2 linked regions of the Lepisosteus oculatus genome follow. The protein of the gene in region 2 interacts with the protein of the main gene of each other region in a pairwise test. Links are inferred from orthologs where the notes say so. Each region holds a gene or a part of one and is shown on either strand. Other genes may lie near its edges. The genes, in order: sav1 and serine/threonine-protein kinase 4.

The links.
Region 1: the proteins of serine/threonine-protein kinase 4 (region 2) and sav1 interact in binary tests that used the Homo sapiens proteins (3 or more experiments, as listed by UniProt). The link is inferred for Lepisosteus oculatus from reciprocal best matches to the Homo sapiens genes STK4 and SAV1.

Annotation. Positions count from the first base shown.
Region 1 is NC_090703.1:13,042,950-13,059,149, forward strand, and holds the start of sav1 (protein salvador homolog 1), read right to left. Parts: upstream 7,489-16,200; 5' UTR 7,074-7,488; coding exon 6,980-7,073; intron 4,849-6,979; coding exon 4,384-4,848; intron 1-4,383. UniProt on the Homo sapiens protein: Regulator of STK3/MST2 and STK4/MST1 in the Hippo signaling pathway which plays a pivotal role in organ size control and tumor suppression by restricting proliferation and promoting apoptosis.
Region 2 is NC_090711.1:426,357-442,165, reverse strand, and holds the start of serine/threonine-protein kinase 4, read left to right. Parts: upstream 1-9,205; 5' UTR 9,206-9,349; intron 9,350-9,478; 5' UTR 9,479-9,648; coding exon 9,649-9,683; intron 9,684-14,510; coding exon 14,511-14,591; intron 14,592-15,809. Other genes in the region: tomm34 (mitochondrial import receptor subunit TOM34), read right to left, coding at 1,862-1,963, 2,308-2,434, 2,527-2,668, 2,940-3,088, 3,204-3,356, 3,604-3,703, 4,492-4,624; cox6c (cytochrome c oxidase subunit 6C), read left to right, coding at 6,623-6,736, 7,725-7,850. UniProt on the Homo sapiens protein: Stress-activated, pro-apoptotic kinase which, following caspase-cleavage, enters the nucleus and induces chromatin condensation followed by internucleosomal DNA fragmentation.

The sequences.
Region 1 (16,200 bases), on a different chromosome or scaffold from region 2:
GCAACTGAGTAGAGTTTTACATTTAGGGAAAATGGTGGGAAGCACAAATCTCCTCCCAGGAGACAGGAAGGCACAAAACCCAGCCCTCTGATTAAAACGGAACGAGTCCAAGAAACTCCAGGGGAGTTTACACTAACACCCACACACACAGCAGCCTGGCTACAACAGAGGAACTGCACGGTCACGGCCTCATGATGAACAGGACCAAATTTCAGAGTATGTTCCTGTTTGGGTTTTTCTCCTAGGGTAATAGTAGAAGTGGCCATTAAAACCAACTGGACATTCATTAGAATTAGGTGGGTAGCTGCGTCAGCTGCAAAGGAACAAGTAATAGGTTTATTCCACCCTGAAAAAAAAGAAAGAAAACAACGTTTTGGCCGTGGAGCCTTCTTCAGGTGTGTGAACACACACCTTTTTTTCCCCAGCATGGAATAAACCTATTACTTATTCATTAGAATTAGTTGTGTTGAGCCGATTTCATCCTTATACACTATGTTTTGAAATGATGTGATGCACTCATACATTTTTTTCTGCTCGTAACCTCAGTGTGTCAATTGCTGAGAAGATGAATCTAGATTCTCACCCCACTCTCATTCTGAAAGACTCAAGCCCTTCAAAATGATAAATGTAAACGACTGATGTTTCAGCTTTGTTTTGCATCAAAATATATGAGCGGAATTATGCTGCATAAACTGCCAAGTGTAACCAGGAATTCAAATGATTTGCATCAGCTGCTGGAAATTATATAAACATTTATAGTTTAAAAGAACTGTTTTCCCACAACTTCAGAGGAGATTCAGTATCTCCTTAATATGTTATGTTCTGGACATTGGTTTACTTAAAAAACTGACTACAATTTACTGCTCTCTCTCAATTTTATTATCCCCTAATTTGGAACACAAATTCCAACATGCTGAGAGAAACCATCAAACTGAATATGAAAGAGGGGCAATTTCAAAATTAGCTAACCCATATTAGCCCAAATGTTTTTTTTTTGTTTCAAAAGATAATAATTTTGGCAAAATTTCAAAATAGTTTTTAGCTGTAAATAAACCTTTCTGGGTGGAGCACAAGGCTGAACTGAATTGCCCTAAACCATAAACCAAACATTAATAGCGAGCAATAGGTCACATTTAGCATTTTTCCCTCTGCAGTTCCTGTCTTCATTGTGTTACAAGGAAGGCATGTTGTGATTTACCCTATGGCCATGCTAGATTAGCAAAGGCTGATCTACATAAACGTTCAATAAATTACATAAGATACATGGATATTTCACAGCCTTGATGAGTTTTCCAGAATCACTGGCATCACATCTTAAACCACAATCTTCCAACACATTGGCAGCACCAGACTGATAAATTCTGCATCTGAATGAAAACTCCCGGCTCCAGCTGATAAACACCTGAAATGTTAGACAGATCCACTGAAAAGTGTCCTCCTCAACATTAATTTTGTGCATTAAATATAAAGGGGGAGAATTTGTTAAAGGCATTTCATAATCTTAAGTGACTCATTAAGATTATACAAATTTATACTAAACTAATTCTATAGCTGCAGATGATTACAATGCTGAAGCAGTAATGAATGGATTACATTTATGATAGTACTGAAATCCAGCATTTTTCAATAACAGGAAAAGATTCTATCTATTGTATAAAGTTTCACAACCTTCTAAGGAGATGTTTTCAAAAGGAGTCTCTCTATAATAAAGAATAAGGAGCAAAAAATGAAAATCTCTGGGATAAAAGAGGAGCTTCTTGAGAACATATAACATTTGTTCTAATAGCTTTATTGGTCTTCTTCCTAAATAGTGATATTTCCAAACCAGATGACTACAATAAAGTAAAAACAAGTTCACTGTCGCCATATAGATGTTATTGAAGTGTTACAGAAAATCGCTTATATAAATCTAGTTCAAAGTCTGAATACTTGCAGAAACTCCTTCAAAACTTAGTGCCGGCCACAACATGAAAAGAGGACAACGAAATTCAGCAGAACTGTGGTCAAAGGTAACACTGCACACAGCAAAGCACACCCTTTAATCCCAATGTATTCCTAAAGTATTCCCCATCCCCACCTACATCTGCTTTAATCAATCATTTCTACTAATCCATTCATAAACTGTTACTCGGAAGGTAATAATATACTTGCAGGTTATTCTCACAACGTTCTCAACTTTAATTCTTAATTTTATAACACATTAAAACACATTCTTAATTTTTTAGTTAAGGAAAGAAAAATATACGCCTAGGTCTACATGTTTTTAGGGAAAATGTGAATACTTTGTGATATTCACCAACAAAACTGTCACTGCTATTTAGCTCTATGTAAATTCTTAGTTTGTCACAATATCCCCTTTCTTTGTATGCAGTAATCGTAAGAATTAATTAATGGATATTAATTTTAGGGTATAATACATAGTCACTGCTTGACATTTTTGGCCTTCCCAGTTGATACATGAACATTAAGGAATTAGAAAAATATTTATTTCCTCACAACAAGGCCAACGATGATTCCTGAGGATAATTTGTGATTAATGTGGGCTTCATCAATTTATCATCTACTTGCTTAGAGCTAATCCAAGGCTCAAAATTATAAGACAAGTTGTAAATTTCCTGAGAAAAGTAATCTAATAGTTCAAACACATCAAACAGCTCATGAAATGGAAACTCTTGCTCTTCTTTTCAGTAACACTTCATAATGTATCAAAAACTTACTTGAATTTCTGTTGGATGACTGAATACAGTAACTTCAAGTAAACTGAACATCAGAGAAATCGGTTTCAAAGTCTTCAGACACTGGACTGTTTAAGCTAATTATATTGTGAGACTCAAAGGGAGTTTAAAGTGGGATACTCCAGTCTAGAGTCATGATGAGTCTTGTTAAAATAAACATGCAAGTTTATAAAAATGGTAACACCGCCTTCCATCACCATCTTAGAAATAACCTGTATTTAAATATTGTTGTAAACTCCCAGTAAACACTCTAGAAATACAGGAAAGGCGGCACCATTGTGTACAACATCTTGTATTGTTAGGAATGTAAGCAATACTACCTGCCACTAAGTGGTAATTACTGTAATAAAAATCTGATACTTGGAACACAACGGACATTGTGAGATTATCAGAGGTTACACTCAACCTGTGTACAAAGATTAAATAGAAGTCTAGACAGGTAATAAGGCATAAAGAAGACCAAGAAACAAACAAACAGCACACAAGGCTTACATTTTCTGCATTATATTGTAATTTAAAAATAAAAAAAAACAGCTCCAGGACTGCTGCAGGCCAAAGCTGGTTCATTATGTATCAAAATACATCTCGGCTTAAAAAATGGAAACTAAAAGGATAAGAAAGCCCCCACTAGAGTGGCAGAAGAAAACCACAGTCTTCATGGCTGGAATAACCAGCATTCCAACAGCCTTCAAAGCCGCCTATATCATCCCCTTCTCTTACAGTAAATTGAATGTCTCAGTGTTCTGGAGAACCAAATTACATGTGTAGAGTTAAGTTTCAAAAACAAAGTTCAAGTGCATCACAGCTGAAAACTGTGTCGATAAAAAGATGTGATACAGTGCACCCTTACTGAATAGATCTACACTTGGCTTATAAGAGACATGGCTATTATTCCATTATTTGTACAAGTTTGAATTAGTCAGCATAACCACTATGCTTTTCGTATCTGTCTAAGGGATATTGCTGGGTATTTACACATCTCAGTGTATACACTCCTGTAAGCACAGTATCCAACCTAAATGTATTTTTGAAACACAGATCTAATTTGTATTACTATGTAAATTAATATTTACAATAAGAAGCTGTCAATTTTTAAAAGTCAGCTCCACCTTTCTAAAACCAGGTAGGAAGTAAAACCTATACTTTAATAATTGTACATATACTGTATACAGTGTGCTATACATAAAATTGAAAATAATACTAATACGACAACATTCCATGTCTATTGGAACTTAAGTTTCTAGACACTGAATGCCTGATAAAACAATCTAAAATGAGATTTAGTGCTACTTTTTTACATTTTTGAGTGCATCTAAAGTATTTGCAGAATTAAGAACATAAATTGTGGCTGGATTGAGATCTAGCCTTGACTAGTAACAGTCTTGACTCCCAACAGCCACAGTGAGAACCAACTTTCTCCTCACGTGAGCAAACCATTTCTGGCCTTGATTTGCCAAATTCAACCCATATTCTTCACACTGAAAAAGGAAACAATGTAAAAACATGCATTAAGTGCAACACAAGACCATGCTGTTACACCTCTGTGGCTTTATGGATTATACACAACAAGCGACACTGACAGCTAAACCAGTGACCATGTCTCGGAGCCAAGGACAGAACAGGAAAGAGGGAACGCTATTGAACTCACCAGCATGTCTGCCTTGGGGCTGCGAGGGTGGCAGTACTCTTTGGAAGTGGTCGCTATTGTGTTCATAGTATCTATAGTCCTCGTGAAACCGGTCTGGCACGTGTCGCCGCCGCTGGCCATCGTAATAGGGGTCAGGAGAATAGAAATAGCGGGCAGCGCCACCGGCGTCGCCATTCTCTGCCATCGGGGTGGCCTCGGTGAGGAAGGACTGCGAGGACCCGCCGTACTCCCGCGGAAGGTCTCCCAGGCTGCGGGGAAGGTAGGGCGGCGCCGACAGGCGGTTGCTCTCGCGCCTGGCAATCTCGTGGGGCGGCCTCTGCACCGGCCCGCGCAGGAAGCTCTTGTTCCGGGAGACCACTGGCTCGCCCGGCCCCACGGGATACCCTGCGGGACCCTGCTCCGGCAGAGGGATCTCGGCGCGTCTGGGAATGGTAGGCCCATGTCTTATAAATGAGGGCATCAAATCTGGAGGAGTGAAGAGGAGAGGGACCCCGCTGGTCAATGGCAACAAACCGCATGACCGCAAACTGGACTACACGAAGTGCCATCAGGCCTTTTGCTTGATCGTCAAACAGTTCAGTTCCTATGGTTTTCTTTCAGAAGCAAGTGCAGTACCGGACTCGCTCAGCTGACTCGAAGAGAAAGCACAAACACACAGGGACAACTCCCTGAGACAATATCTCACAGCAGCGACTTCACAAACCAGGGCATACTCGGAGCTGGTAATAAAGCCGGCCGGTTATTTTTTAGTCTCCATCAGAGAGCGTTTCTAAAAAACACATGCTTCTTAAAATACAATTTATTCAAACACCGATGTAAAACCGCATTTCTGAAGAACAACTGAGCTCAACCAAGTCTTGTTTTGTGTTCCACTTTTGCTAAAACACCAGATCATACAAGACTGTAACACATGGTAATCAGCGATGGGACAGTTCCAAATTGTACATTTAATGCATTTACTTCCCCGCCTCTAGTACCAGACTCAAAACACTTATGATGGCCCTTATAAAAATACACCAAACAAACAAAGTAAGAATTCCAGCTGGTCGAGTAAAGCAATTTCCTAGTCAAATTGTTTTGCTCATCTTTCGCCAACAGTGCATATTTTGCAAAACAAATCACCTGCCACTGGCTCAACAAACCAGTTACATAAATATAGCGGAATTTCCAGGAAAACAGTTTCTTTTTTAAGCCTGACTATTCCTCTTGTTCAGTAAGCCGAATGTAGTTTTTTAAAGAAAGCATTCAGCTAATGTAAAAAAAAAATAATTTCACAGATATTAAAGGGAGACTGTAAAGAAACTAGCATTAACATAATCTGACATCTGAGGAAATGACACATTACATGTCTTGTGAGAGCCACTTATGATTATTATAATAAGGGTTATTATTGAGTATGTACTTCAAATATTCATTTTTACACTTTTAACAAAAACACCAAGAAGGTAATTAAAAAATACACATGTGAAGCACCAACATGCTAACGGACAGTTCGATAACAATAAAAAATGTTCTAAGAAGAACTCAGTCAGTCCATTGAATACAGATATCTGCTACAGGAAGTCAAAACTTTTACTGATCTCTAGGTAAGAAACACATTGAGACATTTTAGACTAATAGGCTATGTGAGCTCACCTTTTCATATTCTTAGATTGCTCTGTGCAATGTGTAAGAAAGAAAAGTTATTGGTAATTTACTGAAATGCAGGAAAAAGGTTGTTCTAGGTAAAAAATTGTAACATGCTGCTTCTCACTGTGTGTGAAGTGTTTGTAGCCTTCACAGTCATTAGAGTAAAAGTGACTTTGATATGCTACAACATTAAAAGAAAACTCGAAGAATGTTCACAGCTTTCATCTCCCAGCTGGTTCTACCCACTAAGCAAGATCATGTAACCTGAGAGTGGAGCTGAAGTGTAAGCAAGCCTTGATCTTTAACACTGACCCTAAGCATACAAACAAAAATGACACCTTAAATCATTATTTTAAAACAAAACGAATAGCCTATTTAAAAAAAAAAAGTCAATGCATTTTTTTCCCACAAATCCTAAAAAGTGACCAATTAAATGGAGATGGGGGTGGGAGGGGAGTTACCCTTAACGACTTGTGAATTGCAGCAAATAAAATAAATCTGAAGATTTTAATCCTGGCAGCAGTTAGCAAGGGAGAAAAATATCTGATAAACTGAAATACGTTAAAAAAGTTTCTATTCGCAGCACTGTACCCACATCTTCAAATTAAAGGAATGTATAAAGTGAATGAGAAAATAGCCAACTGTGACGGGGTTTGAATAGTTTCGGCAGGGCACAGTGAGGACCTTGTGTTTTTTTTAAACCGTGAACTGTGGCTCTCGCATCCAAACGCAACCACTCCCATCCCATCTTTTATAACATCGGGAATGCACAACGCTAATGCTGTTCAATACATTAGACGTTAGACTCGTAGAAAGAGCAGGGACATTTCGAATTAAGAATAACATAAGCAGTGCATATTGGTATATGCAAGTTAGATAACTTTTTTAGCAATGTAAACACTTGCATCTGAGGACTGCAGGAAAACGAGAGAATTTAATTCTCCCCCCATTTTGAAGCTCAACTTACTTCTCAAGAGGGGGGACGTCTCCTTTTTTACGTATTTTCCGTGTACCTCGGCTGGTTTCGACGCTTCGTTTTTACTTTTCTTTCGGGAAAGCATAACTCGAACTGCGAGGGAGACATCAATGCGACGAAACAACTTCGGTGCGCCTCAGGAAATCGAGAAGACCGCGGCACAGGAGCTGGAGCAGAGGAAGAGGCATTTTCATTTTTCACTCGGGGCAGAGGCAGCCTGGGCTTCGACGTAAATCCATTTGTTAGTGCCAAAACAAATCGGCAGACTAAACGGGCTTATGAGAAGTTTGAGCCCGCGAGGAAAAAAAAAACAGTTTTTTTTCAAACCAGAAAAAACATATCGCGTTGCATTTCAGTTAATATTCATAATTTGCCCCCGAAAACCACTTTTACTTGGTTTCCCCTCAGCCTGTTGCTCCTATCCTATTCCCACTCCTCTCCACTCAACATATAAACTTCCCTGCTTCTCAGGGGTTTTTTTTTCCAACACGCAAAGGGTTCTGGGATAGGTGACGCATTCGCCTGAGCTCTGTGGTTAAGGTGATGGGACTGCCTGAGCTCTGAGGCGTTGTGAGGCTGGTGGAGCTGGTTCCTATGGAAACTCCACAGCACGGAGTCAAGAGTTGCTGGAACCGTGCAGGACATAGCTGATGCTCCCTCTGATTTAAAACTATTTCTTGATTAATAATTCGTTGAGAATTTGCAACCGTTACTTGACAGCTAATTGGTTTCTTACAGGTACCCAAAACTCGGTTTGCTAAGCCTGCTATTGGGAACCTTGTGGAGGTCCTTTGGCACATATAAAGTAAAAAAGACAACAGTGCTTTCGGAATATTAATAATTCTTAGGATAGCCACTTCCACAGTGAAAAACTGTGGTTTACCTACAAATTATTGTCAGATCAGAAACGCAGTTCAAATCAAAAGATGAAATGGCACACATCATTCCTTGTTCAACGATTGGGTGTTTATGGCAGCACATTTTATAACTTTCATAGTGGAAATTAATTTTTTCCATTACCACTTCAGTTGGAATTAGTGTTATTCCTCTGAAATCAATAGATTTCTGTAAAGATAAATATATAAGTAACAGAAAACGCAATGTTTCAGCTGTGGAGCCTTCTTCAGGTGACACACATCCGAAATGTTGTGTTTCCTTTCTTTTCAGCATGGAATAAGCTCGTTACCTGTTCCTGTATATATAAGTGTTTACCCTGCCTTGTGCCTGCTGCTTGCTGAGACAGATTCCAGCTCCCATGAAACCCTGAACTGGAAGAAGCAGTTAAAAAGTGGGTGGATATATACTTTTAAATATAGTGTTCTATGGTTCTATCATCTTAGACCTTTGCCCATGGAGCCCAACTAAACAGTATTAAAAGAGCCAGCTTTTGGAAGGATGATTCAAAATTGGTAGCAACTGTGTAATTCTTAGAGTCTTGGAGTTGGGGACTTCATTCCACAGTGGATCAATAAAAACAGGTGATCACATGTGACCAATATGATAGGAATCAATACCTACCAATAAAAAATAAAGTGCTTCTGATGAATACTCTGTTTCTTAGTGCAATATAATTATGATATTGCTGTTGAAGCATCAATTAGTGACAGTGCTTCCACCATACAGTGCTACAGTCCTTGATAATACATTGCTTTTTCAGGTGATTTTTACCCCAGGCTGGTGTGATTTCAATACATGAAATGGTAGGATTTATTAAGGCTAAAGAATTAAGCTGATTTTGACATATAGTATCTGGAAAAGGAGTGGTGAAGGTATTTAGAATATGCAAGTGATCCCACAATATGTGCTAGCTTCCAGTTATTTCCTGGTATGTTGTATGCTCATAAATTATACCAATATCAATGGCAAAGTATGTGTTTCTATTTTTTATTCTTCTTTGTTTTTTAGATTAAAATATTTGCCAGTGACACAAGCAGGGAAGAATTTATCAAGGTATTTTTCAGAAATGTGTCCAAGATCTGGGGTGCTATTGAACATATTATTTTCTGTAGCAAACTTTATACAGTCAACCAATGCCTGATGCATATGATCCCTTTTTTATATTTCAGTGTGTCTGATAGATTTAATTTTTAAAACTGGTAGAAACTCTTTTCTCATGGCTTACCTCACAATATTGTTTTGAGCCCACTGTATTTTATGAATGGTACTTGCCATCTCAGTGTACGTGGGTTTGGGTGGTAGCTGATGATGAAAATACACATAATAAATGTGCATAACTGTAGCAACTCTGCCCAGAGTGTAGCATGCCTACATTTCAAGAGCCAGGGAAAATCAGACTTCATTCCAAGCTGAAACAAATTCCACTTTTTCAGATGATGAATTTATGAAGACTTGTTGCAAAATATGTATAGCTACTAAGTCTTTTACATTAACATAAATACACTGTACATTAGTTATATTTTATTTTATTTTTGGCAAGCTAGTACTAATTCTGTTATATATTATCCAGATGTGCTCTGTATCCAGACATTGAGATGGAACATCTGGTTTGATTATATGTTGTGTGGCAAAAGAAAAGCTTGTTAATTTTGAACATTCTTTTCTTTCCAATGACTCATAGCATTAAGTTGTGGATTCATGGTAAATCCTGTTTTAAATGTTGTCTCTGTGACCATAGAGATGAATCAGTCTTGCATGAGATCCAAATTTCACAACTGGATTCTTAAATGGGGTACTACATTCCTCTCTTTTATTAAATAAATCATTTTGGCCCTTAGTTGAATATACAATGAACTTCCCCCAGTTTATAGAGTATATCTAAGTATTTGTTCCGATGTGTGAGCTTGACCTATTCACAGCATGCACTCATCATATTTGGTGAAGTAAACTAAATGATCAAAACACAAAGTTAGAACTTTTTACAATGTCATCATAAGTAATCTTTTAATTACCTGCAGGGCTTATTTACATAGGACAATAACATGGAGTCACATTTGTAATTTTTTCTTTTTCCAATAGTTACCTGTCTCTGGACCTGACTCTTTTATGCAGTTAAAATGAGCCATTTAGAAGGTGGATTGATTTTGCTTTGTTTGGATTGGTTTAGTTTTGCTTTTTAGCATCCCGCCAAATCAACATGAACTAATGATTTGCTCTAGTGGTTGAATCAGCATCCATAAAACATTCTGTGACATGTCTAGGATTTTCCCAATTATACTGTATTCATCTAACTTGCTTGGAATAGCCAATATCTTTGTCTTTTTCATAGATTATATATAAATGCTGTCCAGAGCTTGTTTTAAAGGAGAACTGCAGTCCCAATTTCTCAGACCATTTATTAAATCCCGGTAACAAAATTAATTAATTGATGGTATTGCAAAATTTGACAAATTCCAAATTAATCACAAATTCCAGAAACGTACTGTATGCTCACCTTGTTGTCGCAAACCGCTGGTCTCGCTGCCGCCGGGAGTGAGAGTTCTTGTGAATTGTGATGTGAAGCAGCCCCTTCCTGCTCGCTAGTCACTGTAGTGACTAATGTAGTGTGATGTATAAGTGAATAAGAACAGGTTGTGCAGCACACATTTTACAGTAGAAATGTTCCAGTGTGGCCTCTGTGCAGAGTTAACAAGTACTGTAAGTAGTATTCGTAGGCAAAACTGACTCGGAGTTGAGAGCAATATTTTTCATGTATTAGGTATTCACAAGCCTGCTTTTTTAGAATGTAATAAGACCGCTTCACATTAGCAGAAGTTTTTGCCTTGTTCTGAATTGCAGGATTGACCCTGTGCAATCCTGGAAATCTAATTTACTTTGTGTTGGAAATTGGAGGTTTTTACAAGTTACTGTGTACATTGTACAAATGCACTCATCCACGCCGACTTTTTCTAAACATAATAATAGCATTGCAGTTCCTCTTCAAGCAATACTGCATTCAAATACAAGGTGAAAAGCAAGCCATTGCACCTTGAAGCTTGAGTTTCTATGTGAACTGTACGACATTGCTACTAGAGGTTGAATCGATCCACACAGATCAACAGCTGTTGATACGGGTCTGTTCAAAACGTCTGAGTGAAGTGAGCACACAGAGCAGAGATAAACCGCCGTCGCGGAAGGACTCAGGGGACACACGGCACATTGTTTTGGGCTTGGGAACAGAGACCCTCCCCTCTGCTGTGCTACACCCCTTCCTCCCCACCACCCGCCAACATCCAGATAACGAGACGAGCGCACTTGCCTCTGAGCACAGAGGATGCAGGGATGACAGATGGGGACTCAAATTCTTGTTTTCCCTAAAGATCACGCTCTGAACTGCACATTTCCTTCAGCGGGACAAGACAAACCCCGCCAGAGGAACAGCATGAATCCAGTTTTGCTACCAGGCCTCTTAGACATTAAAGCAGAGGCGTAGCCACGGGTCGTGCTCAAGTCCACTGAATATTTAAAGGCACGGTAAAAGCTCCGTGAAGTTCGCCCCCTACAGACAGCACAAACGATGAAACCCACCTCATTCGTTAGTGCTACGTTTCTGCCAGTTTGTGCCATTAAAAGTAGCGTCTGTGCTGTTTTCGTTCCCGAGATACAACGCCTTGTTTTTCCGGGGATCATGTGACCATGCACGGTGACTTTGACCTCCAGTGATCCCGTCTGCCGAGTTCAAGCGCTGTTACAGTTTAGCTCGTACCCTTAACATTTTATAGACAACCAATATCCATAAACATATGAGCCTCATTAGATATGAATAATACTAAGACATGACACATGCCAACAAGTTAACCATCTATGACATAAACCTATGGTTGTAATGTATGTAAAATCACCGTGATTGTTAGATCTATGGTTTTTATTTTCTATGGCACGTTTTCCTTTCTTTCCCTACCGTGACACGCTGTTGCCAAACGCGTAACTGTGGGATACCATAGTGACAAGATTTCCGCAGCATGTCATGATAGGGACCCTATGTATATCGCATGTAAATCGCGGCAGTGTATATCACGACTGGCGCCTTGCTTCCATGCCACCCTGGACCATATCAGGACATGATATAGCCAGATACTACATCCCGAGATATATGGACTTTGTGTCACAACATGGGGTCAGCATATCCTGTCAGGGTATGTCCTATAGCAACATATTGTAACGCTTACGGCCGACAAGCACTGTGTGTAAGAGCCGGCGTACCAGAGCGGGTGACGTCACCGCCCTTCCCTGTGATAGCAGGCTGTGGAGAGATTTCTCTTTAGCTCACGGGGCTAGGTCGCTGCAGAGAGACGCGGAAGTCCCGGGTTCGAGCCTCCAGTCGGGATGGGGCCGACCAGATGAGGCAAGGGCGCCCGCCTGAGCCCCCGTTGCGTTACAATATAGATTCCATGTCGTGATATGGGAGCGGGACATTTTGTTGGGGTATGTCATATCGCGATATACTCGCTTCATGTCACGACATGGGCGTGGTAATTTTTTGTCATATCGCAATATATGGACTCCATGTCGCGACATGGTGGGTGGGCATTTTGGCTGGGCATGTCATATCGCGATATATGGGCTTCATGTCGCGACATGGGGGCGGGGCACTTTTGCCGGGACATGTCATATCGCGATATGCGGACTCCATGTCGCGACATGGTGGGTGGGCGTTTTGGCTAGGCATGTCATATCGCGATATATGGGCTTCATGTCGCGACATGGGGGTGGGGCACTTTTGCCGGGGCATGTCATATCGCGATATGCGGACTCCATGTCGCGACATGGTGGGTGGGCGTTTTGGCTGGGCATGTCATATCGCGATATGCGGGCTTCATGTCGCGACATGGGGGGGGGGGGCACTTTTGCCGGGTTATGTCATATCGCAATATGCGGGCTTCATGTCGCGACATGGGGCCGAGGCGTTTTCTCGGTGTATGTCATATTGCGATAAATGGACTTAATGTCGCAACAGTGGCGCCTTGACAGCGCCTTGATATTGATCCACCAGTCGCAAGGGGTATTGCGATGTGACTGTGGTGCGCGCACTCCTATCGTGACATGCTATCGGAGTCGTGAACGCGCTGTGGATGCCATGACATTCTTTGTCTGCTATTCAGTTTTGACCTCAGTGCGACTTCTCTTAGTTTGATCAGTAATTGGAAACCAGTGGATGTGTTACTGTATATCAAGCGTGCTCATACAGCACACAGAGAACACACAGAACTTCCGCTGTGGCGCTTTACCCAATCAGAGTGTCGATTCTCACTCTCACTCCCAATCGGAGCCCGAGCTGTTCGGGGGTTTAGCCAATCACGGGTCTGAGAGCTGTTCAAGCTAGCAGCGCCGGGTGGATCGGCTTGTTTACTGTCAATGAGAATCTATTTTTAAAATGCTTTACTTATCGGCTTTTTTAACGTCTTTATTGATTCACAATGTCCCGTACTCTTCGAAATAAATACATTTTTATTTGCAATATAAATGTCTCCGCTGCTTTCTGTAATGGATACATGGTGTTTGAACAATTTTAATCGTATATTTAAGGTAGGGGAAACACCTTCCGCTTTGTACTTCAAAAATGAATAGAAATGTAAAGTATATGATAATAATATTATTATGCTCGTGCTTTCAATTTTGTTTTTTATTGTTAAATTATATCGATCTTGAAACTAATACCCAAAAATGTAAATATGGGCTCTCGTGTTGTACCAGCGGTAATTTGGAAATTAGTGTCTCTTCACCAATGAAAGGAGTACGCAAGCAATACATTTTCGAGAACCCAATGAACTAACATAGTAACTCCTCCCTAAATGTAAAACTGTTTATTCGTGTAAAGGCTGCAAAGTCTGGGGTCAACTGATCAAAAGATCACAACTGAAAGATCTGGTAGTCGTGACTTTGCTATTTTGTACGTCACAGAGTGACGTCACAGCCTGGAAAAGAAGGCGCTATATTGAAATATATTGAAACATCCACCCCAGCCGACCAGACAGACTCGGAAAACATATTTTGTGTTTTGTTGCCCCAATTGTTTTCATCACAATCAGGAACAAAGTACCGAGTTTGTTGGTACCTGTAAACTTCCTTGTAGATAGTCAAGTGATTACCCGAAGGCACGAACGCAACACCGATTGAGACCAGTCCGGTTTCCCTGCGACGTTGTAGGGGGCTGAGAGATGCCACAACCCCCCTCAAAAAAAGGTTCTATATATCGGGGGGAAAAAGCAGCACAAACACTGCTTTCAACTGCACAAACCGGCACAAACGTAGCACTAACGAACGAGGTGGGTTTGCAGGGGGGGCAACTTCACGGAGCTCTAGGTAAACATTGCATGGTATTTTAAATACAATATTTCGGACGGATTTTGAATCTTGCATTCTGCGTTCTGTTCATTGTGTTTTGTAGTAAAATATTAACTACAGAGTAACTCGTAAAACTACTGAACAATTTAAAAATAGTCATTCGAAATACTTAGAACTGTTACTTGCAACAAGTGAAAATGAGCTCTTGCAGATTTTCTTTAGCTAAAGACAAAGTCCTCATATGAGAGGCCTTTGCAAACTATCTGTCGTTTATCTGGAGTTTGCCGACTCTCTAGAGTCTAGACAGTAACCAGATTTTCGCCATATTCAATTCCAAGCCCCGACGCTGGTGTCACATGTGGTCCTCTGTTCAAGGAAAGGAAACTCAACCACCCTACAGTACATGCACAGAAATATTTTAATGTACTGCAGGTGAAACAGGAGGTGCTATACTTTTCTCTTTCTCTTTTCATGTGGTCCCATTCTCAGTAGGTTTCATATAGCCTTACATGTACAGAAGCACTTGGATATAGTACATTTTTAAAAAAAATTCTTCAATAATTTTATGCAATAGTTTACTCAACAAATAAATATGAAAATAAAGGCCTAAAGGCTGCAGTGCACCTTTTCTGTGCGACATGTAGTGCGACTACAATAATACCAATTACTTCAGTTAGCAACAATACACCCTTCATTCAATTTGTTTTCAGCTTCACTTTAAATGGCCAACTGACAGCCATCTAAATATAATACTATATAACATTCCCTCCTTCTGTTCTTTACTCAGCAGCAAAACTCACTTCACCAGGAAAACTGTTCCCAGATCATTCTTACATCCACGTAACCAACTGACAGATCAATAGGGAGACGCTGGAGACTTTCCTCTTGAAACGCATGTGAAGATCGCAATACCAGATCCGAAACCAAGCTAATTGTGTATGAAACAGTCATGATCACTACCATACTCCATGGATCTCAGATGTTCAGAAGACACGTTAAAATGTTGAGGAAGTATCATCAACACAGCCTGGTGAAAATCTTTAAAAACAGATGACAGATGAACTAACGCTCCTGTTCTCTTACAAACTCAACAAGCAAGAGGTGGTGGTTATCCAACATTAGCTTCACCGAGCCGGCCACATTGTCTCCTTACTCCCCAAACAAACCTCCTCTTTTTTGGTCAGTCATGGCACATGCTCAAGAGGAGGAGAGAAAAAGCATTTTAAAAGATGTCTTCAAGGCCAACATGAAGAAGAGCAACACTAACACCAACTCATGGGAGACTACTGCCCATGACCACCTGAGCTGGAGGACGTCTGCTGCCATGATCTCAGCCTTATGATGACAACAGGAGGTGGATAGGCATGAATCGCACAAACAGCAGGCGAACCCCTAAATGTCAACAGAGCCCGGCGTCATCTGGAGAAGCACAGATAAAAACGATCATGGATTACAATCATCCTTAACAGTGAGGAATGCCAATAGCTGTTTTTATTACAGCTAGATGAAGACCTTATCAAAGTGCGTACTTCATCAGTATTTCTTCAGCATGACTTTTCACTGTAGATACTGAATTCAAGAGGTATGTCAAAAAAATTGCTGAAGCATTGCCATTGCAAAAAAGTATTGAGGTCTTTCAGAGTTATGCAACTGTTAAAAAGAATGTTTGCAAATATTTCAATAAATCTTTATAAGGTATCAGGCTATCTGGAAACTTAATTTGGCTTTAGAGGAATAGGTTTTGAAACAGGAATTCTTTCAAACAAGAAGATGACTATTTGGAGAAAGATGCTGGATACAGCTAATCAGGAACTGCAGGCATTGGATTCAAGTTAGAAACAGAGCTGAGGAAGAGATTCAGACTGACTATAGGTATCAGTTCCTCTTCACCTCTCTCTTTCAACCCCTTACAACTGAGTTACTCTGGTCAAATCAGCTCTGGCAGCAATAACCATAAATCCTCAATTTAAAGTGACTGTGAAATAGCAGCT
Region 2 (15,809 bases):
ATGGAAAAAGGTGCTTCGTTGAAGAAGGAAAAAGGAAAGAATTGTAAAATGACAATACTAGTCTTGCAAATTGCATTTGTTTAGTGAATGATGACTGGCAAAGTAACCTGTTGGAAAGAGAAGTTGAAGGAGCCAGTAGGCTGTTTGCAAGGGAAGGTTATGTTTATTCAACTTTTGTTATTTAAAAAAAAGATATACATGTTTGTAGTTGGTACTACATTTTGTTTTCTTTGTGCATGAAATAAAAAAAAAACCTTAAGTGGATCTGGAGTGATGTTTGATTCCCCGAGCTTCACGCTGGACCCGACTCGACCCCTGGACTGTACTGGACCCCACACTTGGGGCCACAGCCTGGCAGTCGGAGATGGCGGATACGCTTCTGTTCTTTGCCGTTCAATCTTGGCGAGGATTTGTGGGGTGGGCTGGGGGGTTGGTAGATTTGGGGAGCAGTGTAGTGCTCCTTGTGGTTGGTGTACATCTGCTTACACTGTACTGCTCTGAGAAACAGGAGAAGGGGCAGGACAATGTGACCCATGGGGATTGCAGGAGTGCAAAAGGCCATTCAAGCAGTTTCTGCAACACCACTGTTGGTTTAACCACAGTGTCTTGTGTGCAGTGAAGACTTCAGGTAAAATTGCTGGTTGCAATACCCAAGAGTTAACCCAAACAGCGCAAGAAATCGGCACAAGTCCCTGCTTTTACAAGACTCCTGCTCTTGTAAAAATACTCGTCACTTATTTGACCTTTTTATTTCCACAGTCCAATTTCCTTTTTTTAACTTGAAATAGCATTAGACTTCTCATAAACTGCATTTAAAGAGCATTTCTTAACATTGTCCATCTTTAACTACAGGTGTATGTGCCCAGGATTTCTGTGATTAAATGTACCCATATAGACTGGATATCTTTCCTACACAGGTCCTGTATATCTCCTATTCCAGCACTGAACAGTGCTTTTGTAAATGGTTAATTTTCTGAACACTGAAGCACTAATATTCAACTCTCTCATGTGCCATCACCTGCTAGACTTCTGGCCAACTTCCAGAAAAGGGAGATTGGTATTGCTTTGAAAACAAAAACCCTCAAACCCGTCTTCTCTAACTGTAGAGAACAGATTTTCAAATGTTTATAATCTTAAGAATTTACTATGGCACACCAAGAAAGAATAGAAAGTTTATAGTAAATAGTAAAACTGATGAAGTTGTGAAACATCCATGAGGAATGAAAATACCTTTCTGTAACAGTAACTCGTAAATGTTCTTAGACTGGACAGAATAGCTTCCTGCAACAAATGCATTTAAATTGTCCCAAGACCACCTTATTTTATCATCCATCCAGCCATACCTTTTGGTAAAAGAAAACATGCAACACTGTCTTTAAGAACATCAGGAACAGAAATGGTTTAGTACAAACCAGCTTTTTAATCATAGATATCCAGCTGAACAGGGAGCCATGCAAGCAGTGGCAGTTTTCAGAGGAGCTGCAACCAGCAGTTGATATCTGCAGTAGAAAACCACACTCCTTAGTTTTAAAGTATTTCTAACCTAATTCTCAAGCTTTCCATAAAGTAATAACAGATCAAGGTTTATCAAGATTTTTTACACCAAAGTTTTCAGGTTTCTTTATTTTCTATGCAAACAAAAAGACTTCATACTGTAGCTGATTACATATGGCTTTCAGTTTTTTTCAAAATAAAGTGCATTATTGCCCTTTTGGTGAAAAGTCCCTGATAAACCAGCCTCATAAACTAACGATTTGAAGCCTATGTACAAGACACTGATTCCTGACTAGAGTGGGAGTCGTACTGCGGCCTCGGACACGTCTCATCCGGGCTGTGGCGGCGATGTGCTCCTGCTGCTGCGTCACTTCGTCTTCTGCACCTCCTGCAGCAGCTTCTGAGCAGCCATGTTGCCTGGCTCGATCTTCAGTAAGGCGCTGAGGTCTCGAGTGCAGGCTTTGTAGTCCTGAAAGAGGGGAGAGAAAGGTCCGTCAGTGTGAAGAAATCACTCTGGAATAGACAAGGGAATTCAACCTTCATGCTTAGGCTTTGCTTTCTGTTACACTGCTTTGGAGTTCTGCTGTACATTCCGAGTGCATTAACTCAGAATTCCAATAAATGTTCTTTTTCTTTGATGTATAGGAATGTTAAAAATACATCAAAGTATTTTTGTGGACTTTACTCTCCTGCGAGAACTGCCTGATTTTTTTGGATCAGCGCACTCTCTTGGAACGTGTCGGCAAGACTAACGAGGTGTTTTCTGAAATTGCTTTTTGGTGATGAAGGTCATGAGGTCGCTGGGATTCTCACTTTCAGCTGCTTGTGGGCCTGAGCTCTTCTGTACAGCGCCTTGATGTTCTTGGAGTCCAGCCGCAGCGCCTCCCCGCAGTCCTGCACGGCCTCCTTGTGCATCTTCAGAGACAGGTAGCACAGCGCCCTGCGCAGAGGAGACAGAGACACGGGTTCAGGCAGACGTGAAGTGGCTCTTATTCCGACTGCCCACCTCGCTGGCGCAGTGCGGACCCCTACCTGTTCGTGTAGGTCGTGGCTTCCCTGGGGTTGAGCTTGAGGCTCTCGGAGTATTTCTCCGCAGCTTTCCTGTGCTCCCCCTTCTTCACCAGCGCGTTGCCCTCCTCCTTCAGCGCCAGTGCCAGCTTCTCGGCCGCGACGCCTGCAGGCAGGACAGCGCATCAGGCAGCGTGCCGGCTCTGCTCCCGAGACCCCACAGGTGCCCTGTGGCACGCCGCTCTCTTCCCGCAAGGACAGGGACTCGGGACCAACACATGGCCGCCAGCCGGAGCAGACAGGCTGAGCGGCCTTTGCATACTGCACACCCCAGCTCCCCTCGTGTCTTTCACAGAGCAGGCTAATACTTCATGGCCTCTCACTTGTGTCTTGACTGAGCACGTCAGTGTGGCGCAGCCGGACCCCGAGTCTCTTACCTGGGCTGCTGACGCCGTTCCGCTGCCCCGGGGGCACAGGGGCAGCGGCCTGCGCCAGACTCTCGCGCACCGACAGGGGGACGGCAGGGATCGGGGGCAGCTTCTCTCTCCAGCTGGGACCATCCTGCTCCTGAAGCACCTTTGTCATTCTGTGCCAAAGAGCAAGAGGACAAAGCTGAACAGACGCATCTGTGCATCCGGTCCGGAACAAGCCCTGTGGATCCGGGGACAGGCGCCTGCAGCGTGGCCCCCGTGCTGGAGTACCTGTTGGTGCCGTCGTGCGCCGCGGGGATGCTGCAGTCCACCTGCAGGACGGTCTTGTAGTCCACGTAGGCGAGCCGGTACCTCTCCAGCGCCTCATAGGCGGCCGCGCGTCTCAGCAGCGGCTTGATGGCGAAGGGGACCAGGCTGAGAGAGCTGGAGGCCGGGAGAGGGGAGAGTGAGGGGCTGGGCGGCAGGCAGCTGGCTGTGTGTGTGTGTGTGTGTGTGTGTGTGTGTGTGACTGTGAGACGGGAGGCACAGTCGCAGGTGTGCTCACGTGGTGCAGTCCTTCACACACTGTGTGTGTGTGTGTGTGTGTGTGTGTGTGTGAGTGAGAGTGTGTGTGTGAGTGAGAGTGTGTGTTGAAGAGTGAGACGGGAGGCACGGTCGCAGGTGTGCTCACGTGGTGCAGTCCTTCACACACTCTGTGCAGTTCCCATCCTTCAGGTAGCTGGCGGCTCTGTTGGAGTACAGGATGCTGAGCTCCTCTGTGCTGCTCTGGCCTGCAGCACAAACAGCAAGTTCACCGCAGTGCAGAGCACCCTACCCCCCAGGAGCCACAGCCTCCCTGGCTGCAGGCCACTGGAGACGAGCCGCCTGCAGCAGTCTGACCCACTGAGACCAGCTGGGCTGCCAGCAGCACGTGTCTGGGGCTGTACATACATACTAAACCTATAGTCATAACAGAAACTACTACATCTCACAGGAACCCCAGAAACAGGTCTTACAGGTAACTGTTAAATTTCTAAAGACCTGGGGCAACTGAACTCTGGTTTATCTGAGCTCAGTTAAACAGGACGGGTGGTCAATTAGGTAATAGATACCAATCGCAACAAAAATCAGAATATCCTTTAGCCCCAAGGATCAGTGTTTCCTTCTCGGAAACGCTGCCGGCCCAATAGGTGCTCCTGATTTTTGAATAGGGGGCGATTTGTCCTGGCCTGTAAGAGTAACTGAACTGGGGCTCCGGCTCTGTATTATGAGAGTGGGACAAGACTTAACTAGGTCAGCAGCTCATCTTGTGCTAACGACATCGAGCGCTTTCGTGCAGATTTAAAGCTGTGACATCGGGTCATATTCCCGGTGTCATTTAGCTCCGGACCCTCGTTTTCACGCCGGGAAATGATCGGGCGGCCCTGTTACCGGCAGGGAGACAGCCTTTGCACTTCTAGAAACCTCCATCTAGGCCAGAGGAGCAGTTAATGGTCCCGGAAAGACTCCCCGCAAGTCCAGCGCCACGGGCGCAGAGACGGGCCGCCGATTCAAACCTGTGGCGCGACGGGACCCTCACCTGACCTCTCCTGGAGCTGGATGGCCCGGGAGTAGAGGGAGGCCGCCTCGCCGTACTGCCCGCTCCTGAAGCAGTCGTTGCCGGCTTGTTTCAGCTGCGCTACGGACGGCGAGGAGCGCCTCTTCTGGGGCATGGCGTCCAAACCGAGCCGGGTCGCCTGCGCCGCTGCAACACAGCGCCCGGTTACGTCAGTGCCGCGCCGGCTCGGACGGGCAGTAAAGCCAAAGAAGGACAAAGAGGAAGCCTTACCAGAAACAGCCTGCTAATGTCGAGCCGGGACGAGCCGCTTGTTTGAGGCTCTGTGCGTGCTGCTCTGCGGGATGAGGGGTCAGCGGGTCGGCCTGTCTTCCCTGGTGGGCAAAACGGGCAACTCCAGACGGACCCGAGATAGCGCACAATATCTGCCCTCAGCTCTGCAGCACAGCCCGGCCACGCTGCTGCCCTGCTCCGTGTGCTGACACCCCGGCACAGCTGGCCTGCTTTCTGCCGGTGTAATATTTCAGTTTCGTTTCTTCCGTAGTTTGGAGATCTGGCCAAGTTTCCCACTACACGCACAGCGTGAGCAACCGGCTCTCTTCCGCCACACCGTGGCCTCTTAAAAAATGAAGTTGATCAATGATGCCCCTTCCTAAAAGCATCAAGTATTTTACGGATTATTTCGTAAATCTGTTTTGTAAACGGAAAAAAATCTAAACTGCAATTACTGGATGCACAGTCCAAGCATTTAGCATTGGATATACTTTCTAATGTTATAAATTACTCAATAAGACCGCTCCGAGTTACAGTTCCATATTAAAATTCCAATTATAAACTCATGCTGTGCTACTGCGTCCTGACTCCTCTTTGAATGCCGGAAAATAATCTCATGTGCATTTTTAGCACATTCAAAATTAGGGCAGAACGAGCTGACGATGAATCGTAAACGCGCAGACTCCTGTATCCCTAGGTGTAAAATAAACATGCTGACTGCCCGGCGCTGGTGCTGTTTGTGCCTCTTCAGCCACCGTACTCAAGCGCTTGTGGGTGCGGTTTGTCCCTCGCTGGGCTCCGTAGCTTCATCCAGTCTTCTTCGTGTTCGGTGAAGGTCGTGTCTTCGTCAGGTGAGTTCAGAATTAAAACGTTTGGTTAAATTATTTATAAAATTATGCAATTTATAAAGACTCAAGCCCTTAAATGTAAACTGAGCTGATTTTCATGTCGTTAATCCTGTTTTTGCCTTTCTGGTTTTACGGAAGGAGCCCGGTAGGTCACCGTAACATCCGTAAAAACCGGTAGAATAATGATAATGTAATCTCGGAACATGGGTTTAATGAAATACGAAAGCATGCCTATTGAAAATACCGTCTAATGTTTTCTTCTTAAACTAATGAAAGATTATTTACACGCAGTTATGTCGAAATCTAGGCTTTTTCATTGCCTTCTTCCTGAAGTGAAAACGACTTGCTTCCTTCTGTGATATAAATACAAACGGAGTTTCGTCATAAAACACTCGGGTTCCTTGAAAGATTTTTACCTTCTTACTGAAGCTGCTTTTCTCCACAAACACAGAAATGCGTAGTTTTAAATGCGCGAAAGTGACTGTATCCCTGAAGTGTCCGTGTGAAATGACGCTTGCTGCAAGTGGTTCGGAAGTCAAAAAAGAAAGGAGATTTAGCGAGACCCGAAAAGTAATAACTTTTTAGTATCTGAGTTCATAAACCAATGAGAAGTTTTATGAAGTTCAGAAAGAGATGCAGGTAAAACTCAGAATATTAGTGTAGCAGTGAACTGTGCTAATGTGTCCAGTTCTGCCCAGCAGGCCACCCTGTGGCTCGTCTCTCCAGGTCGGAGGTGATCTAGAGAGGGCAGGGCCCTGGGGCATCTGAACACTGGGCCCCAGCTGCGAAAGTCTCTAAAGCCTCACTGATTTCATGAGAAAATACCGGTGTGCAACAGAGTACGGAATAAATCTGTTTATAGTGGATACGAGTGGTTAGAGAACGAGGGAGGTTCTTGCAGTTTCACATTTCGTGTAGCTCTTATTCTTGACAACATGAGCTGTGAAAGGAGCCAGTTGCTAATCGACTGAGCGCTCCGTGTGTGTGATGACATGTTGTGCCAGTGATGGTCTGTGATTGCCAGATATCCCACAATGCCGGCCGGAGCCCTGCCCAAGCCCGTCATGCGCGGCCTCCTCGCCAGGCGCCTGCGGTTCCACCTGCCCATCGCCTTCATCTTGGCCCTGTCCACCGCCGCAGTCTTCAAGGTGAGAGCGGGGCGGCCTGCCTGCCCTGCTGTGGGATTCGGGGCCCTGGCCCCTCGAGGACCTGGGCCTGCTCGACTTGCATGTGCTCAGTTGTTGAAATCTGTAGCACGGGAGACAAGGTTATTCTCTTAAGTATTTGTGGCCTGTCCTGCCTATACAGCAACGGCGTCAAAGGAAGGAATTCAATGTCGGTAGCGAATGAGCTCTTCTTTTTATTAGCCTGGGCCTTGGATTGTGTCTCTAATAAGGCCTGAAGTGATGTTCTTGGCTGCAGTAAAGAACACGAATTACAAGTGAGAAGAGGCCACTCATCCCATCAATCTCAATTGGGCATGTATAGCTCATTAATAGAAAGGTCTGGTCATTCCTGCATAGATTCAGGGTTATTGAACAGCAATATGACTGGTCAGCTCGTCCAGACTCCCACATCCCTTTGTGTGTGAGAGTGAGCCCTGTTCTCAGTTTTCCAATCCATTTCCCTACAGTTTCCACCGTTAGATTTCCAGTTAGATTAGTGTATACATGCGGTCACCAAGTTATAAAACCTTTGCTGCAGTCAGTCCAGAGAAGTAGAGATGCAGTTACAGGCTAGAAAAATGTTCTGCTCTGATAAGGTAAAGGAACTAAATCTTAGTCCCAAACAGTGGACTGAAGGAGATATTCAAAGTCTTCAAAGATGGGACCTCTTCAGAATCAACAGCAAAACAAACCAGGGCAAAGGATATTAATTCAAAACGGAGAACATGACACTTTGTCAGAGGCCCTGGGACTAATGAGAACAAAATGAACTAGGTGTCTTCCCCATTTTGCAAACTTTGTTTTTGTGCTTTTGATTCAATGCTGTTGATTTAAACCCAGACAGAGTGTGTAGGGTGTAGCCAAGAAATCACACCTGAATTATGAGGACTGTTGTTTTTCTTTCCTTTTGTGGATGTATACATGATACATGACTGATTCTCCTTAAAGTGACAAGTTTCTCTCTCGACAGTTCACAGTAGCAGATCCCAGGAAACGGGCGTATGCAGATTTCTATAAGCGATATGACGCTATGAAGGAGTTCGAGGCGATGAGGGAAGCTGGTGTGTTTGAGAGCGTCAGGCCTTCAGGCAAATAAGCAGAAGTGAGTTTCTACTGTGATTGTTCTTGCTGCAGCAGTCTGATGCCCTACCTTGCTGTCACAGAGTGTGGTCTCGTTGCTGGAGTGGTATGCTTCTTGGCAATGTGAGTTATTGCACAAGGTCCTAGCAGTTAGGAAGATGTGCTTGTGGCACCAGAGCTGTGACTGGACCTGGTCAGTGTGGCCCATTAACCACTTCCTGCTCCTCTTCCAGGTCAAGCCTGCTGTCCCCTCTGGGTCAGAATTCCCTGCACCTTGGCGATCCTGTGATGATTCGTTGATGTCGACTGTACTGTCACCTCTGAGCTCGGGTTCTGTGTGTGCCCTTACACAATATAATAAACTGTTTCTTTAAACACAGTTGTGAGGTTTGGGATTTTGTTCTACATTTTACTTTGGACATATGCAACATCAGACTGACTCCACTTCAGGCATATTTACACAGACATTAATCTCATTAATTTATCTGATCGAACCAGAAATTGAATGTTCCCAGTAAAGTCACGTCCTCTTATCCATAATGGAGCTGTTAACAGCCAGTCTCATTAAAGGAGGATGGAGATCTGACTGCAACAGCAGTGCTGTTCCCATCGATAGCATTAGAGCCGTTTCTAAGGTCCACTGACTGAAGGCTGCAGAATACCCCTTCTCCCAGGAGTGAGATTATCTTTGTCGGTGCCCTTTTTTGGCATCTTTAGCACAGACTGGATCACAAGAACAAGAAAACAGAGGGTGTGTTGGAGGCCTGTCTGGAGCCACACGAGAGTCTGCTGGTCCCTGAGGCTACCGACACGCAGAATGGAAACCCCTCTGTGGTTTTACTGTTTAACTCTGCGGGTGTTGGTCCCAGTAGTTAGTTGGGCTGTATGGAAGGACTCTGTAGGACCAGGAGAACTTGTTTCTGAACTTGTTTCTTGTGGTACATCATGACTTGGGTTCCAACTTGCTACGGAGTTCTGCTGGCACTGATAATGTACAATTAAGATTAAGAGACTTGAAATGATTGGCTGAAGTAAGAGATGCTTTTCAGTAGTGCAGTCTGTGTATTGTTTTGTTTGGGCAAAGCCTGACAAATACATTGTATAACGTTTTCTGCAAAATAATTCAAGACAGTGCACTTCTCTGTGATACTAAGTACAGCTGTAACCTTGTAAGGTACGAGCTGGCAAGCAGAGCATCTTGCTTTCAGCAACAGAATCTTTAGTCAAGTCATTTAAGATTCTTCCACACCTCGTGGCTTCGCGGTATTACTGGCGACCATCCGCTAATGGGCGCGCTGCACACGAGTCAGGTGTTGCAGCCCTCAGCCCCGGGACCAGCGCCCCCTACCCGCCCCACTGCGGCGGTGCGGCTGTGTCCTGTCCCCAGACGGCCCGCCCCACGCCTGCCGAGCACCCGTGGGCAGGTTTCCTGTCTCAGCTGTCAGGCAGGCGGAAGGACGGAGAAAGAAAGAGTTCAGACTCGGGCGAGAAACTGCAGGGGAACTGAGCGAGCAAGTGAGTGGGAGACGGGGGACGTCGAGCCAGCCGGTGACACAAGCCGAGAGCGGAGCTGCAGCTGGGAGATGGAGCTTAAAAGCGCTTAAAAGCAGCTGTCGGGGGCTTTATTGTGTGTTTTTTTTGCAGCCGGGGCTGGAGGGAAGCGCCGCGCGGCTTGCGAGACAATAGCGAGCCGCCGCGAGGGAAGCCGGTGCCCCGAGCCTCGCGCGCCGCCTGACGGGCTCGGCTCATCCGCGCTCCGTGTGCGCGGCGGGTGAAGCAGCACGAGGGCGGAAGGAGCGCAGAGCCCGGCCACCATGGAGACGGTGCAGCTCCGGCAGCACCCGCGCAGGTAGGCGCTCACACCCGTAGGGGGGCACAGGCCCTGTCGGGGCAAAGCTGCCCAGTATCGGGCTGCCCACCGCGCCCGTTCCTGCCTGAAAGGATGGCCAGGTGCTTGCTTTTCTAGAAATGGGAACTCCCGCTGCGCCGGGACTCTCCATGGGGAAACGGACGATGTTGGCCTTTTCGTTAGTTCAACGGCGATGGGCATTTAAAAGAGCGATTAACTCGTGTTGTTGCTGGATTTAGACGAAAAGTCTTGTTTCAGAACAGCCGAAGGCATCTTTGCCTCCCCTGTCTGGAAGTGCGTTAGTCACAGCAGCTGCGCTTGTGTCTCGGCAGAAATACGGAAACTGACATCCGCAGCAGCTGGAGTCTTCTTCTGGTTTGTGTACCTTATAGGACCGGTCTGTCACCGAGTGTGATGGAGCGGGTTGAAGTGTAAACTCGTGTGTGAAAACTGTGCGGTTTCAGTCCGAGGTCCGCGCAGGAGACGTGACTGAATTTGACTGTTGTTAGCGGTATGAGGGCATGTGTTGTCCCCAACACGGAAGCGCAACAAACTTTTTTTAAAGCAGGAAATGCAGTGAGCTGTCAGAAGTAAACCAGATGAAGCCTCGAGTCTCGCTGGAAGGCAGTTCAGCTAGTCTCTAACCCTGGTCCTAGACAGCCATCACCTTCTATAATCTGCACCGGTCCCGTTTTTATCAGTTCAACCAGTGAATTGTTAAATGAATTCAGAAATGATTGGAAACAAAAATCAAAATACCAATCAGCATCCAAAGATGCTGCCAGATTCCTATACCCTTTGCTGAGCACGTTACTTGCTTAATTGATCAATGATCTGTGTGTATTCCTTTAAAAGAAGTGAGATTTAAGGTGGCCTGTAAGACGTATATTAGACATGTACTATGTTGTACTGTATAGTAGTTGATTCCAAAAACTGAGTGATCAAAAGTTGAAAGAAAACTTGTTCTATTGCGGAAACTCTCTTAATTTTGTCCTTCAAGGTAAAATTGACAGAATACAGATTGGACTGGGGTCTCTAGAACCAGGGTTGGAGAGCCCTGCTGTAAGACAGTCTAGAGACCCACCTGTTTGTAACAGAAATCATGCACAAGCACACTGGCTCCATCTGGCTCAATCTCAAATAACACAAAGCCCCATCAGCCTGGACTCTTTCAGTATCAATACTACATAAACAGTTTTGATGGGAGCAAAGCTGTGCGCTCTGTGCTCACAAGCTGTAGCCCTGCAGGTCTTTGGCTCCCCACTGTATGGTACGTGACCTGGGTGTTTCTGTTTTAATGGCCGGCATCGTGTCAGGAGTCAGCAGGAGTGTTCTGGGAACACTGGCACGGTGACAAGCAGCCAGGGTTCCTCTGCACTGACTGTACCTGAAGATTGTCCCCCAGATTCTGGTTGTGCCCTTTAGCCTGGGACACAGGCAGTCGAGGGATGTCGCAGTAGCCTGGTGTTAGAATTGCAGAAGTAGTCCTTCTGCTGTGAAAATGTATCGCTGTACACGTTCTTCCCGTTCGTGTGCCTGCTGTAAATTAACCGTTTGTGCGCTGTCAGACTTCAAATTTAAATGGAGAAAAAGGGAATGTTATTTTTTGCTGTTTCTGTTGCATGGAGCTACAGAACATGTCTGTCTTTGTGTCCGGATCTTAGAGAGGGGTCAGGAATGCTTTAAAGGAGTTTTCTGCTGTTCTGTCTTTAAAAGTTGGGGTATGTCTTTCCATCATTTTGTATAACAGAAAAATGGCTGTAGGAATGAGTAACAGAGTAAATTGAGTAAGAAATGGACGACCATGATGGCTTAGACAGTACAGATTACCAGTAATCTCACTCAAGATGTTGATGTGCAGACCAGCTCTGCGTGTTACGCTGTTGTGAAATTGAACCGGCCGCAGATTTGAGAGAAATGTTTCTGAAACTCCTGGTTTAAACCAGGGCAGGAATTTTTTGTAGCTTCCTCTTTAATGTGAAGGGCTTTTGACTTATGCCAGAGTTTCTCTGCTCTCCTGGGTGGTTGAGACACGTCGGTCTCGAGGTTGGAGTCGTTGTGCTTGAAGAGGAAATTAGGAAATGATGTGGGATGCCTTTTGCTTAGTGGGGTGTCCGGTGTGTTTAGGAACCAATCGGTTTCTCTTAAGTTCTGCTTCAGGGAAAGACAAACTCAAGGCCCCCCAGTCCGATCTGTTGCGATCTGGTGGCACAAGCCTCTCTTTGTGTGTTTGCATGGTTCTTAGTATGTTGATTACAGAAGGAAAGGAGCTCTGGCTGTGCTGAAGAGCTGCCCGGGAATCTTTTGCAGAGACTTCAGTTGGTTAAAGATGCTCAGACCACCAGGTGCCTTATGTTGCTGCCGATCTGTGAAAAGCACTGTGTATAGGTCATCCCCTAATTTCCGAAAGGTCACCTTGGATAAATCGTGCTAAGTGGAGTAATTGGGAGACCTCTGCTCTGTTTGGCCCACTGGCAGATTAAGGGTTATGGAAGTGGAGACTGAAAGCAGGCCCCTTGCCATCACCAGCACTGGGAAATGCTCGCTGTCTGCCTCTGCTCTGGCGAGGGTGCCGAGAGCTGCTGGCTCCTGTGGGCGGCGGGGAGCGCGGCTGGCTGTCCCGGGCCAGTCCCTGCTTGCACTCCTGCACTGGAATGCTCCGCACGCGCCGACGGGCTCCGGCTCCCGGACGCTCTCCCCCTCGTCTCTCCCCCCCCCCCACCTCAGCTCTCTGCATGCTGCAGCAAGGCTGTCAGAGCTGAGTCAGCCTCTGGGGTTCGACAGGGAGATCAAAGATAGGAAGTGATCAAAATACATAAAGGGGATTTTAAAAAGTGTAAAAAGTATATAACCGGGGGTTTTTAAATGCTGTTGAATACCTGAAAGAGAAAATGCTATAAACCACTTCAAAATGTTTGTTTTCTCTGAGACAGACATTGAGGTGCTTGGGGTCCTCTAGCTCCTTGGGGGGAGACCGCAGCGCAGTGCTGTCCTGTGCTCCCACCCCTCCCCAGGCGTCATACCCCGGAAAGACAAGCGGCTGTCGGAGTCCCACCAGTCTGCAGGACAGGACAGGAGTTTAGCCCTTTCCCGCAGGAGACGGCCTTGTCTTCTCCCCTCATCTTCTGCCTTATCGGTGACACAGGGGTGTGGTCTGCGCCAGGGGCTGGGCCCCTCCACGCATTGTGCAATGAGGATGAGCCTGTCTTATCAGCCCTGCCCACTCTGTGCTGTGGCAGGGATCCTGGGGGCAGCCGTTGGCCTTGTGCTATCAGGGCCCTCCAGCCCCAGCAGAAGCGTCAGCTTCCTCGATTGCCATGAAGGCTTTCCATTGAGATTGCCTCGCAGCTTTCCGAGAACAGTGCCTGGGGAGTTCTCAGGCAGCGGTGCTCTGTACAGAGTGTAGAGCCTTGAATGTGTCTGTTGAATGCTCTGCTGTGCCTCAGAAAGTTTCACAGACCTGGGGAAGTTACTGCCCTGGGTAATCACAGACAGGGGATAAAGCTGCTTTGGGCTGTTCTGAAATGAGACTTTCCATTTAAATCCAGCAACAAGAAGAGTTAACTCACTCGCTCTTTTAAATGCCCATCACCGGTGAACTAACCGTTCGTCTGTTCCCCCCCCCCCCTGGAGATTTCCAGTTCTGCGAAAGACACAAAAAAGGAGTTCAATGAATTCTAGTCCTGGGGTCCCTAAATGCAGTCATCTAGGTTCTCCAATCCAGTAGATTTTGTAAATCCCTTTATGTCATCAGCACCCTAAAACACGAGGAGTGACAAAATGAAATGAGTGTGGCAGCTGAAGGTCTGAAGGGAATGGTTTCTCATTTTCTCTTGAAATTCTTAACAGGCTGCCTCCAGTATATTTGTAAGAGTACAGTTTACAGTCGCATGATAGCTGCTGGAGATCTAGTCGCACTGTAGCGGGCGACACTGTAATCTGCCTGTGTGTTGGCACGCAAGGAGAGAGGGCATGAACAGAACAGAGCAAACCTGGTTTCTTGAGATGCTAAGATGGTGCCACCCAGCTGAAGGCCTGCAGTAGAGTAGTCAAATAATTACACTCATCTCAGATCGCTGTTGTTGATCTTCCAAACTCATTGATTGGCAGCTGCATTGCTGTATTCGGTCAGCTCTGTTTGCTTAATATTAAGCTTTGTAACCCCTTTGAGTTGGTAGGACGAGCATATGTTTAAACGCAACACAGCTTGAAATGCTGTAAAGATAACTGATCACTTTGAAGGAAACTTTGTCATCAAAAGCAGAAGCAACCCAACAATTGAGACAAAGCAAATGCAGGTGGAAAAGAGCTGTGCACCATAGCAGATGAATAGAAAGATTTCAAAGGACTACGTGTGAGGGAAGCCCATGGGGGGAAAAAGACAAATGGTCCTTTTAATCACTACTTAAAAAAGAGATTACTATAATCCTCACATAAACTATGAAACCTTGAAAACTGAAAAGGTGGGACCTTCTCTCACACCAGCAATGCCAGAGCCCATTGCTCTTCCCTGTCTTTTTTGTACCTTGTGCTGTATTGCTTTTGTGTCACTACATACTGTAGTAGAGATTATTGTACATTATTGTATCTTCTTGAGTTCTGCTGCATTAACCAGTATTCTGTATAAATGTCTCTGCATGATGTATTTTTAGCATATTGTCTTTTCATTGTTTGTTCATTGTACTGTATGTTGCCTTGGGCCTGGCATCAGCTAAATGATTTTGTTTTGTATATGCCAGTTATATTTAATGCTATTAGTTTGTGTGTAAGCTGTGGGGATTCCTGAAAAAAGGCACCCCCACAGCTCTCTGACTCTTTCCTCTGCAGGCAGTTCAAGAGGCTGAGTGAAGACAGTTTAACCAAACAGCCAGAGGAAGTGTTTGACATCCTGGAGAAGCTGGGAGAGGGGTAAGCACCATGTGGCTGTTTACTGGTATCCAGCCCTGTTACCCCTTTTCACACAAGATCTCCACCCCCTTGGCATAAAGGGTGGCCTTCTGCTGAGTGTCTGTGTCAGGCCCTGCAGACTGTGCGAGACTGAGGTTCTGAGTGCAGTTTTCTTTGATTCTTTTTCTGGTGCGACCACAGGTGAGAGAAAGCAGTTGTAAGGCAGAGCAGTCCAGCCTATAGAGTGTAGTTTATTTAGCATTCTAAGTTTTCCACACTGGGTGCCTCTTCCAACTGTGACCAATCTGTCGTTAATTCTGCTGATGAAACCTGGTTTAGGAAACTAAGGTATTTTTCTACAATGTGTATTTGTATTTTTTTTTTTATAAATGCACATCATCCAATCTCTGTTTTCCACATCTCTGATTTCCACTGCCCAGACGGCCTCTTGCTCACTGCCTGTCTGCAAACTGGGCCTCTGCAATGTACAGGGAGTGTTGAGGTCTACTCTGTGCTGTACTGAGGGTTCAGGCTCCACTGCAGTGTATTCAGTGTGGAGGCCACCTGCTGCCTGTGCAGTGGAAGTTGCCTCACTCTGCTCTTTAGAGTCATCTATTTCTGTACACTGAGAGAGGAGGGGCCCCAGGCAGTAGGCCTGCCACACGCCATCTCTTCCGCTCAGGTTCAGCAGTGCTGTGTCCTTCCTGTTTCTTAACATGCTCTCGGCTTCCGGCACCGTGCTGCCTGCAGACGGCATCTCCCCTGCGAGTCGGAAACGCCCACCTCACGCCACTCTGGCTGCGCGCCAGCTGTCACTTTACAAGAAACAAGACAAAGAAAGAGAAGGTTGAGGACCTGCTGTTCTAGGGAAATGCGGTTCATTCCTCATTAAAGGAGATTTGTGACCTACTTAGAAATGAGTGAAAGATCTTAGTCTCTTCAATGTCTACAGAGATGATTCAGATTAAAGGCGTTTTTAAAAGTTTTTAAAAGACTCCTTGCCAGTGTGTAAAAAATATTTGTATTGTGTATGAAGTGGCTGTGAGGTGGGAGTTCCTGTGAGCTGCAGAGCACAGTGGAGCAGACACATGAATCCATGGGGAAACCAGCAGAGATTCTCACTTATTCTAGGACAGATAATGGAATTAACCCTACATGTCCCATCTTCACTTGTAGAAATAGCTGAGTGATTAAAAAAAAAACCCTCACTGGTGTCAGCTGCACCACAGGAAAATAGGT